2 linked regions of the Drosophila melanogaster genome follow. The protein of the gene in region 1 interacts with the protein of each later gene in a pairwise test. Each region holds a gene or a part of one and is shown in the gene's direction. Other genes may lie near its edges.

Evidence for each region.
Region 2: the proteins of emc (region 1) and sage interact in a two-hybrid assay, tested with the Drosophila melanogaster proteins (one study listed by BioGRID).

Annotation. Positions count from the first base shown.
Region 1 is NT_037436.4:747,291-754,970, forward strand, and holds emc (extra macrochaetae), read left to right. Parts: upstream 1-2,109; 5' UTR 2,110-2,373; coding exon 2,374-2,937; intron 2,938-4,981; coding exon 4,982-5,017; 3' UTR 5,018-6,202; downstream 6,203-7,680. UniProt on the Drosophila melanogaster protein: Participates in sensory organ patterning by antagonizing the neurogenic activity of the Achaete-scute complex (AS-C). It lacks a basic DNA-binding domain but is able to form heterodimers with other HLH proteins, thereby inhibiting DNA binding.
Region 2 is NT_033777.3:9,261,072-9,266,080, reverse strand, and holds sage (salivary gland-expressed bHLH), read left to right. Parts: upstream 1-1,938; 5' UTR 1,939-2,338; coding exon 2,339-3,006; intron 3,007-3,067; coding exon 3,068-3,206; 3' UTR 3,207-3,427; downstream 3,428-5,009. Other genes in the region: TrpRS (Tryptophanyl-tRNA synthetase), read left to right, coding at 22-601, 673-777; ATP6AP2 (ATPase H+ transporting accessory protein 2), read right to left, coding at 3,909-4,475, 4,738-5,009.

The DNA of each region.
Region 1 (7,680 bases):
TTTTTTCCAGGTTTCTGCTGCTTTTAACCTGTTGTTGGTTCTTCGGCGGCGCTGCTGATTTGTCATTCAGGCGAAACACTCGCGAGTCGTAAAGTAAGCTCCGTTTCAGTTCCAGTCTCCTGAAATCTGGCGAAGAAGACGTGAAATCATCTCGAGACGTCGTTGTTGCAGCAGTCATAAAATTATGATCGGTATTTTTTAGCCTTCCGTTCCCCTGGGAAATTTGAACTGTGTCGCTGGTTTTTGCCAGCATTTTTTAGTTATTTCGAGTCTAGTTTTTCGACATGGAACATGGATTTCTGCTGTATTTCATGCAACACCTTGTTCCCCGATTTCCAGGAACATATGTATGTATGATCTCGGGACATTCCTGAACTGCGTTTCCACGGAAACTTGCAAATAGACCGTAGTAATTAAAGGCACGAAAGCCGAAGAGCAATAAACACAAGCTTTTCGAGCCCAGTCATGTCTCCCATTCAGCCATAGCGAACCAATTCAAAACCATTTCTAACGCAGACGATAACCAGAGAGAGACGTGTCGTTTTTCACAAACAACGACGCGCCCGCTCATTTTCAATGAAAATTTCCACAATTTCCTCAATGGATCGTCGTCGACCCATCATGTGTGTGAAATACAATCGTGGATTTCTTGCCCAGAAACCCTGCAACTTCTTCGGTGCAATGGAGTGGGAGAGAAGTCGAGGCGCCTCGAACTCTTATGTGTGTTCAAGATGTCGTGGACTCAAATTAAGATAAGATGCAGATAAGCCGTGCATTTCGATTTAGCCGTTTGAAAACTCGTTAATAAGAATTTGGTCAATCCACTGATAACGACTAGTTTTCCATTGAACGGAGGCGCATAACGCTTATCTTTGTTAGGAATAAATATGACAAATTGAACGACTACCGTTTAATCGTTTGTCTATATACGAAAACTTAACAGGATTGTTCGAGCTATCAGTTTATTTGAATAGTTATTGTTAATGAAAACTACTACTAACTAGCCCAATATAATATATTATGAATATTTACTCTTCTTATTTTCAAATGATTTAAAATTTTCACCATTCCACAGCGATTAAAATCTAATTTACCCATGCATATATTTAATATTCATTCTGTAATTAATCAAGCCCTTGTTGAACCACTCGCATTGTCTTTTTCGCCTTTTCGTGTTGATTGTGGAACCTCCTTATCCCACAAAACACTTTTCATTCATTTTCATGCTCATTCACAAAACATGAGAAAAAAAAAAGAAAAACAAACATTGCAGTCGTGAGAGGAAAATTATTGAGCGAGAGTTACTGTTCGTGTTTTCTCATTTTCAGCTGAGAAAAGCAGCCGACCAATCACAAAACCATTTCCCCTTTACAAAAAACCGATCATTTTGCATCTCGTGGAGAGTATTCAGATTTGTTTGGAGAGTTTCGGAGAGGAACTCGTTAAGCCGGGTCTACAAAGGTGAGTATCTGTGGACCGTGGTGGAGTCAGGGGAAATGTTAGTGCTTTAAAAAGTGTCTACTATGTGTGGAATTTGGATTGTATCTTGTGGATTGGATATTGTGGTAAGGTTGAGTTTCATTTGGTATCTCGGGTAGAAGTCAATGAGGTGGATGTTCGGGCACACAGGCTGTAGAACTTGTTGGATATTTTGTCAAGAACTGAAAGTATCCGAAAGGATTAATTCATAGCATATATACCTCAGTTGTATTTTGAATTATTTTAAATTAGTTTTCTCAGAATTCATGGGCTTCACACTACACATCTTCCCCTCTTAAGATCTCAGGCTTAAATTCGTACTCCATTCTCATTGTGGATTTGAAATGATGACTGTGAAGACCAAACACGAAGGGCTACCCCTTAATTCCACATTCTTGTCCACCAAAGCAGACCTCTCCGCAACTCACCTCTTAGGAACTCTCCTAAATTCCGGTTTCAAGTTGTGGTCCAAGTTCCACATGGACACCAATGAGACACATTCCCCAGTCTCCACTCTCCAACCAAGTACATATCTCTCTCCAGCCGAACGAACCCGAGAGCGAAGACTCCGCCTATCGGATTCGGAAATGCCCGTTCGGGGGGTATAAAAGCGGGCGCTCTGAGCGAGCACCACTCATTCGTTGTCTGACCGCTCGCAGCAAAAGATATAGAAATCGAGAACGTAAACGCAGAAAACACGCTGGATTAAAGTGTTTCGTTTCGAACATCGACAGAGTGAGAAAACAAAGTGAAGTGAGCGCACAAAGCCGAAATCAAATCAAATTGAAAAGCCAGTCAAGAGCAATCTTTAACTGAACCTCGCAAGTAATCCGGTACGACCGTGTAACAACCGCCAAGATTCTACTCAAGGAGCGTAAAGCAATCATCTCCAGAATGAAGTCCCTGACGGCCGTCTGCCAGACAGGTGCCTCCGGAATGCCGGCCTTGAATGCCAGCGGGCGCATCCAGCGCCATCCCACGCACCGCGGCGACGGGGAGAACGCCGAGATGAAGATGTATCTGTCCAAACTGAAGGACCTCGTTCCGTTCATGCCCAAGAACAGGAAGCTCACCAAGCTGGAGATCATCCAGCACGTCATCGACTACATCTGCGACCTGCAGACCGAGCTGGAGACGCACCCCGAGATGGGCAACTTCGATGCGGCAGCCGCTCTGACGGCGGTGAACGGACTCCACGAGGACGAGGACAGCGACATGGAGGATGCGGATGCCGAGGCAGAAGCGGAAGTCGATCCAGATATCCTCGCCCAGCGCCTGAATGCCGAGCAGCCGGCGAAAGTCTCTAGTCCCGCCGCCCGTCTCCCGCTTACCGATCGCCAAACGCCCAACACTCTTGTGGCGCCCGCCCATCCGCAGCAGCATCAGCAGCAGCAGCAACTGCAACTGCAGCAGCAACAACTGCAATCACAGCAGCAACTGTCCAACAGTTTAGCAACGGTGAGTTAACAAACAAATTGCTAGGGTAGTGAAAAACCCAAATAGGAAGTGGGCAGATGAGCACAGCTCAGGTCGAAATATTAGGAGAAATAATAAGGTTATGGAATATTTAAAGTAGTTATTTTTGAGAAAATAACATAGTTAAACATTTAAAGTACATGACTTCACTGGTTTCAACTAGACAATAAAGCGATTAATTGCTAAAGTTACGATAAGGAAGTGCGAATATCGCAAAGTTTGCGATCCACCGATTTTCGCTATTTCCTTGAGTGCCATTATTTTGACCGCAGCTGTTTGGCATTTGCATTGCAAATTTAGGAGACAATTGAGTGTCAAACTGTTTGGCTTTACTTGTTTTTGTTTCGCGAGTGACCTCATTCATAAGGCGATTGACGAATGTTTGCGTGAATGTTGTTTTTTTTCATTTTGTTTTATTTTTTTTTAACGGAAGGACGAGGCGCGTTTCGTTTCGTTGGCGAGTTTTGGGAAATTTCTTTATTGGGCGGGTGGCTTTAGACAACGCGGCCTGCCCGATTTTGTCGTACCCTCTTCTTCGCCGCACAGATTCATTTCGTTTTTATAGACATTTCACAGACCGTCTCTGTGCGATTGTATGCGTTGCGGTTGTTGTCGCCATCGTTTCTTTCTTTTGTGTGTTGCCTATACGTAGCTGTTAATTTTTTCTCGCGGCCTTTTTCTGTTGTTGTGATGTTTTAAATGAACACCTGCAGATACTTAAATTTATTTCACACACACTCGCACACACACATACTCACTCACTCACACGCACTTGCGAGCTTGAAAACGGAATTTGGAATTGGGGAATCATCAGTCTTCGTATTTTATTTCATTTGGGTTTATTTTTTGGCTCACTTCATTAGCTCTCAGCTTCGTTACTTCTTCGTTTTTGGACTTTCGGTTATTAATGATGCTGGCGAAAAAATTCGTTTGAGATCTACAATATGTTCGTAAAAACAGGTTCGAAAAAGCTTTTTTTTCAATGGGTTTCTCAAACAAATGATCGACTGGGTGGCCCGGCAAGTGTTATTAATTTTCGATCTCTGATTGTTGATTAATTGTGAAGGTGGAAACCCTTCTTCGAAATTCAGAAAGATGGTTTTGAAATCGTGCCTTCGTCATTCCTGGCTATGAGTTACTTCTTAAATTTTTGATTAATTAACTGTGGGTCTTTAGCTCAGTCCGCTTTGCGTAGGTCTCTTTTCTCTCATTTTGGGTGCGTAATTTTTGTGTTTTTGTTGCAAAACATCTGCAACCCACAAACATATATACTTTTTGTGTTTGTATGATGTGTCACCGCCGCAACAACAACAACAAGCCAACAACAATCCGAGAATTCTTTCGAAAACACGCACACACACACACACAGAAGAACACATGGGGGCACTCAGAAAACTGTAAAAAGAAATGCACGTGTTCAAAATGTTCTCTCTGTGGGTTGTTTTCAGTTGTTTTTGCTGTTTCTTTTTCGATTTTTTTTTCGCGCAGCTGTGCGCCAGTCGCCAGTCGGTCGCTTTCTACATTGTGTTCCCCCCACGGATCCTGCCCCCCCCCCTCCACAACCGCCCCCTCGCAGTAAGAGAGCAGAAGACGGAGGAGAAGAGAGCGCAAGACACTGGGGGAAAAACTGCGTGATTTCAACGTTTTGCTGATTTTCAACTGGGTATACTTGTGCAAGCAAGCTACCTGAGATGTTATTTTAAAACATGTTGTATCTTCTAATGCACATGTTCTTAGTGCAAAACATTTTTCCCAGTGCCAAAGAACTCAAATAAGTGCAAAACAAAAGCTCAATGACAGCGCGTTTGATTTTCTTGGCGCCTCTTTATTGCCCCATCCCCTCCACTCATCGAAATCAGCCTCTCGGCGAGTGTCCCAAACACAAACAAAACAAACAAATCAGTGGAACAGGGAACTAATTGATAACATAGAATGGCGAAATAATACAGCTTATAAACTAATTATTGCATTTCAATCGCACATTAATAATGTACTAATTTGAATCTTCCCGCTTCTCTCTTTTTAGCCACAGAATGCGGAGAAAGACAGCAGACAGTCGTAAGCGTGGAAACGCCCAGCCGGGAAAACCCACGGAACCTATAAGCCTATTAACTAAATGCATAATGAAAGTACAGTCAAAACTCCACTCGCAACCTTCGTGTGAAGATCTCCGCATAAGATAACGTGTGAAACTCTCAAGAAAACCACAGCCCAGGCGCATCTCTTCAACGCTCCTTTTCCCGGGAAACGGAAAACCCGGGAAAACGAGACCTCGCTTTTGGCTCCAACAGAGTTTAGTTTAAACATTTAATAACAAGAATACAACAACACAAAACCTAGCATTAGAGCAGCGTAAGCAAGTACACATTATGATTATTAATTAAACATTACAACTAGGATGATGGCGCTTAAGAATGAACGGAAGAAAGAAAACTTGGCAAAGCTTTAAACAATTTAATTTTCCTTTAACGCTTGAAATTACACTGAAGCATATATTTTTGTTTTCCTAATTTTAGTTTTGTTTTGGTTTAAACAACGCAAGAAAAAATGTTACTAATGCAAAGCAAACAGAGATCAGCAATAAAAAAAAATTATAAAAATGCACAGGCACCAAACTGGAATTACGTTGAATCACCGTTTCCTGCATTACGATTATATGATTTCAATCCAAATGATTTTCCTATTAATTTTAATCAATGAAGAGTTTTCCTATTATTGATTAGCCACAGCCAATAAACAACAAGAACAACCAACTCAGCAGCACACACACATTCAAATTCATTAATTTATATCGAGAGAGTACGTTTAGAGTTTAAGTTCGAGAAAGTTCATTTCCAGGCACTAATTTTCACTCACACCACTCACATAGAAAAACACAAACACCTCATTTTGTAGTTTTCCGAGTCCCTTGGATCGTTTTCCTCTTTTTTAATCGAAATAACGCATAATGCATAATAATTATTACCAGATATACACTAAAACCTATAAATATATATTAATATATGTTCTGTGATCTGTAGCATACTTTGTACAAAGTGTTTTTTTTAGCATAATTATGCGATTTTAATTATGATCCGCAATCGAAATTACACATTTTTGTTCTCATTTCGATGGTAAAAACACTCTATCATGATGTAAAAAAAAAAAACAAAAGAAAACATTTGATGATGTTGCGAAAAAATATATTATCTAAAACATAAAGAAAAACAAACACTAGCTCTTAATAAATTGCAAAAATTTAAAAAACATTAAAAATCGAATATGTCAATGGATTTCCGTTGGGAGCAGGGGATTAAGAAACTACCAGATCTTACCGCAAAAGTCGGTAACTACCTGCAGACAACGACAACAAGTAGCCGGGGGAGGAAAACTCAGCTGGATGGCCATTTTCACATGTAAACAAGTGCAACGAATTACCAGAACAATGAGGTGGATGATATTATTCTCGGAGTTTCATGGGCGAGCGAGTTTTCTCACGCAGCCGCCGCCTTTGTCATTAGGGGTTTGGTTTTCCCATTTTCCATTTCCCAGGTAAAACGGCCGTAGGGTCCGTTGAAAACTCGACCTGCACACGTGTGCGAATTGCGGACGGAAAATTTCCGTTGAGAAAATTTCCTTCACTGTGGCCTGGCCGCTTTTCCTTTTATTTCACGTACGAACCACTTGGGTGTGGATTTAGTTTTGGATTTTCTGCGCTACCCGCAGCTGCCTGCCCACCCACTTCCACTCACACTCACACTCCCACGGCCCACCGCCCACTGTCTCCCTCTCTTTCCCGCTATCTGGCGGCCTATTAGCGTTAATGATTGCAACTACAATGCACTGACCAATTGGCAATTGCGACTGTAGTCTCGGGTTGGCTTCGAGATCGGGGCTTGGAGCTTGGAGCTCGGCACTCGGAGCACTCGGTGCCAGTCGCCCCATTCAAATGTCAATTCGGATCGGACCCCAGTGGACCGCTGGGGAAACACTTTGAACAGCTACGAAAAGCTTTTCCGCGGAGCCCATAAATCTGGGATGCTCTATGGAAGGCCCTAAAATGTATCATTAAATCTTTAGGTTAAGGCACTTTCTTGAAAAAACGACCTATTTACATCTTAGCAACCATATTAACTAGTTTAATCATGCGGTAAAAGTAGTCGATCGATTTCCTTGTGCTAAACTTAACCCAACACCTTTTTGAAAACATATTTTCTTTAAAGTTGTTGCATATTTTAAATAACACTGTTGACAGATCTGCACTAAAGTACAATTTATTACATTGCCTCCTGTTAATTGAGCAATTAATACAATAATCGTAAAAAATACCCATTCCATCGACAGAAAACCGCATTACTATCTTCTTGTTAGGGTATGCCCAGCCGTTTAAAGTTAAGTTGCAGGCATTTGGAAACTAATAGGAAAAGAAACAAAACACTCTGGGGTTCACATGCATTGTCTACGGGGGACATTCATTGTTCACTAAAAGATGTCGAGTGAAGCTTGAGAAAATAAATATTTTAAAAATCAGTATAACATTTCGTTGTATTCAACCCATGAAATATTGAAAATCTTTTACAAAGTAATAAAAGTGTTGTGCGATTATTTAGGATTTGAATCCTACTCCTATGAGTGAATACCCAATTTCTCCATGTGCATCGGTGCGTTTTAGTCGACATCGCCCGTTCTGCGGGGCCAATGATCTCCGATTCCGAGTCAAACTCTGGTATGCGCTAATTGTTTGCA
Region 2 (5,009 bases), on another chromosome or scaffold:
TATTATCTATATTACTTACAGAAAATGTCCTGCCATGTATCAGAACATCATTCGCATCCAGAAGTGCGTTACCTTCAATCAGGTCAAGGGCATCTTTGGCTTCGGGGACTCAGACATCATTGGCAAGATTGGTTTCCCAGCCGCTCAAGCAGCTCCCGCGATTTCCAGCACCTTCCCCTTCATCTTCGGCAACAGGAAGGTGCACTGCCTCATCCCGTGCGCCATCGATCAGGACCCATATTTCCGCATGACTCGCGATGTGGCTCCACGTCTTGGTTTTCCCAAATGCGCGCTCATCCATTCGACCTTCTTCCCGGCGCTGCAGGGTGCCAAGACGAAGATGTCGGCTAGCGACCAGAACTCGGCTGTTTATCTGACGGACACGCCCAAGCAGATTAAGAACAAGATCAACAAGTACGCCTTCTCCGGAGGACGCGTATCTGTGGAGGAGCACCGCAAGCTGGGCGGAGTTCCGGAAGTTGATGTCTCCTATCAGCTGTTGAAGTTCTTCCTGGAGGACGATGCCAAGTTGGAGGAGGTGAGAGTGGCTTACAGCAAAGGCGAAATGCTTACGGGCGAGATCAAGAAGCTGGCAGTTGAGGTAAGTGCAATGATGATGCTACAATCTTCCCAAAAAACATTGTAATTAATGTGCTCAAATGATCTTCTTAGACGCTCACACCCATTGTGGAACAGCATCAGGCCGCCCGCAAGCTGATTACGGACGAAGTGCTGGACAAGTACTTCGAACTACGACCCCTGAAGTTCGGAAGTTAGAACGGTAGCCGAATTGAGGTACCTGCATTTGCTTGACATCGATTCTTACTACCAGTTTATATGAAATTAGCTTAAATCGAACTAAGCGATATTAGTTTAGCACCGAACCGACTAAGGCACTTCTATGTAAATAGCTATACAGAATTGATCTATGCCTTGGCTCTGAGTCCGTGTGGCGCCCACTTAATGCATCGTTGTACTCGCTATTTATTTTATTTTTTACACAGCGTGTTTATTTTTATAAAGCAGAAAACAATAAACTTCGGCTTCGATTTGCAATTGCCACCACAGTGACCCACATTTGGGAAGTTGTTAGCAAGTCTATACATTTTCCTGGAAACCCGAAACGTTCAGCCAAGGAGAGAAACAAGTCAACTCTCTAGGTTTCCCTAGAAACTACACTCTGCTCATATTCATTTCCGATTCCGGGCAAAGGTGCCTCTCTGGTTAGCCAGCTAGCAAAATAACTCTCGACTTCGGAAAAATGTAAGTAATTTTCTCACTTCTAGTTGTGTGTTGTTTTTTTTTTCTGGTAACCCGAGATCTTGCACATGAATTGAATTTCGCGGGCTATCAGTAGATATTCTTCTAGTTTTTTCCTTGCGGTTTATAGTTTCAGGAATTCTGAATTTTCGGAAGAAAAAAATAATTTGCTAGTTAATTACTATTAATTAAAGAAGATATGTAGTAATAATGGAAACTGTGCTCAATATCTCAGTCTTTTAAGCAAGTATCTATTTCAATTAAGAAAAATCATAAAAATAGGTATAGAATATGTAATATAATTTTTAATAGGATTATAAGAGCACTTAGCTGGCGATCACGGTTTTTCATTGACTAGAGAGAAACCAAATTAGTTTGAAATTAGAATTGGGCGAAGTTTGGAGCTAGATTGGCCAAGCTTAGGTTTCTTACCTTCATATAGACGAACCTATATTCATAACTAGCTATATGCATATGTGTGTATTTTTTAATTAAGTCAAAACACTTGTGTTTACATGCGTCGAAAATACACTCTTTCATATGGGCTGAGTTCCAGTGTGGGTGTTTGTACATAGCGACGATCAAAAAGAAAAACTCAAACTGAAGTTGTGGCGACGATCGTCGATCGCTGATCCCAGAGAGGGATCCGACATAAGTCGGACGCAACTCCAGCCTGCCACACGCGCCTCGATCACCATTCGCAGCCGTCGGAGTCGGATCGATCGGACAATAGCGAGGAAATTAAGCCGCTTTGTTTGCACAGCGATTGGATGGGACAAAAGGACCCTCGACGACAAGTTGGTCCCCTATAGATCACCTGTTGACACACGTACAAAGCGGTGGCCTCTTAAACTAGACGAGATGTGGCCCTCATCAACCCCGGATGAGTAGTCACGTCTCGAATCGATGGATCGATGGTGAGCCATTCATCACGATCGCCAGAGTCGTCTCTAATGCAACTAAAAGTAAGCAAAACAAAAAGGTACAAGCTAAAAAAAAAAAAACCAACCGAGTCCAGGTAAACCTGCTGCAGTCCGGCCAGAACTCTTGATCGGTCATTCGAAAAGCGGCTTAAGCGATGACGGATCAACTGCTGAGCTCCACGGCCGGCGTACCGGGTGATCCACCGCCAGTTTTGGTGCCCGTATCAGCCACCACCGGTGGACCCTATTTGAGCGGTGGATCCGAGGGCGAGGCGGAATCATCGGAACAGCCCGTTCTTCTAGAGCTCGGTGCCCCTCAATCGTCCAGTTGTCCGGCAGTTAGTCTCAACTACACCCTAACCGCGGATGGAGCAGGCTTGCTGGCATATGCGCCAACTCATCCGCATAGCTACTCACCCAGCGTGATGGGTGGCTACGAGAAGGAAGCGCACAATATGGGTCTGTTGCCACCCACATATAGCGTTATACCTCAGCCGGTGTCGATGTGGCATGCTGGCCAGGTGGCCACCGGTTCGCCAGTGGGCTTGGAATGCAACAAACCCAGTGAGCTGGTACCTCCGCCCATGTATATGAGCTATAGCGGCGGTAGTATAGCCAATAGCACTGAGGTGGACATCGCCAAAGAGCACAATCCCGCCTGGCGGGAGAAGGCGCTGCAAATGGAGAAGGACTATAGACGCACCGCCTGCGATCGGGAAAGAACCAGGATGCGGGACATGAACCGAGCCTTTGACTTACTGCGCTCCAAGCTACCCATATCCAAGCCAAATGGGAAAAAGTACTCCAAAATCGAGAGTTTGAGGTAAGTGAAAGTATCTGCGGTAGAGCTCTGTAATATATTTATATGATCTTTGCCTACCCAGGATTGCCATCAACTACATTAATCACCTGCAGGCCATGCTGCGGGAGAGCTCCGTGGGTCAAAATGGCAATGGATGCTGTGCCTGGAGCGGCGGAAGTAGTTCACCTTATGATAATGGCAACGATCATTGGGGAGCGTAACTTGAATTAACGAATATCAAAGGGAATTCATTTAAATATTCAATTTAAAACTTGTGTTATATTATATCCGCAATTTGCCAAAGTCATTCCATGAACCTATAAAAGTTAAGGTCCATACTTTACGATTTTGAGAAGAAAAAAATTGAAATAGCTTTCATTTTATATTAGTTTATCATGTTAACCTTTTTATAAGTGCAATAATTAAATAAATTATCAAGAATACCACGTATGATTTCAATTATCATTTGCCCCAAAAACTAGATAACAAAACCAGGCGCAACTTTGTCTTTTTAGGCTATATATATTTAACTTTACTTTTCAACACTTCACATTTTGATAATTTACATATGATGAATCGTTTGAAGAACTGACTGACTTGGCGAGTATGTTGTGCATATTCGTATATATATATAAACCTAAAAAGTACAACAAAACAGGAAAATGTAACAAATTTCTATGGAATTGTTGCGACGCCCGCAACTGCATTGAAAACTGAAAAGTTTTTTAATACTTATTTATAGATAATAAAACCAACTACTGCGACAGCTGTCCGCACACACACAAACACACAATTTATCCGCTGTTGGATTGAAGTAGAAGTTGGCAAATTTCAACTTAAAAGGGGGACGAAATAACAAAGCGTAACGCAAGCTCCTCTCGCTCCTCCTGCTCCTCTCGCTTCTCAACTCCTCCTGCTCCTCCTTAGTTGTCCTTCTTGATGCGGGTAGAGGTCATGCGGTAAATGATGGAGTCCCTGCCGGGATCCATGGCAGCGATGGCGTAGCAGATAGCCAGCAGAGACAGTCCGAAGACGACCATGAACCACAGGATGATGTTGAAGATCACCGGGTAGTCGCTGCCGTAGTAGACGGCCAGGTTGTAGGGATTGGTGGTGGAAGCGGCAATGGTATCACGCTTGGCACGCGATGCTGCCACGTCCTTCTCCGTGGTCTGGACAAACAGAACCGAGTCGCTGGACTTCTGGGAGGCAGCAAGCAGGCGGCTGATAGCGGCCGACAGCAATTTGTTGGCCTCCTCCACGGCCACGGACTTCTCGCCATGAGCCTTGGCCACTCCATCGACGGAAACGCGCAGCATCAGGACATTCGAGGGCTTGGCCATCTCAGCCAGATGATCGGCGGCACTGTTGATGAATCCAACCTCCTGGAGGAACTGCTTGTCAGCGGTGTGCAGAGAGGGGTTCAGGTGCTTGGTGGGCTTGGCGGCTGGGGCCTCGAAATCACCAAAGCAGGACTTCCAGGCTTGAACCTATAAAAAATATGTGGTTAAATATACATTGGTCTCTACGTTATATGCGTAAGGGGGAAGGCACTATGATTCACTCTATAAATCATGTGATTAATTAATTTTTAAGGTTTAATAACTATCTATCATATTTGTGGGAAGTTATAGCGGATTGTAGAGAAGCTTCTTTAAACGAACTTTCAGATGAAGATCATGCTTTCTGCGGTTTGACAAATTAGCTAACTGACTAACGAAATGTGCTTTTCCCCTTTAAGACACCACTTACGCCATCGTCGAACTGCTCAAAGTTAATATCGCAGACGGGCTCGTTGGCTGCCTCCAGTTCGGCGGCCAGGGCGTTCAGAGAGGCGTCCGTTCCGGAGCCTGTCAGCTCGTAGGTCTTGACGTTGCCGGCGGTGGTCACGTGACCAATGCCCTGGACATGCACCAGAATGACGCCCTTGGCCAGGTTGAAGGGATCGTTGATGGTCAGTCCGTTCCAGTTGGTATCGCCGCTGACGGCGTTGCCCATGGAAGCGTAGAGTACATCACCCACGT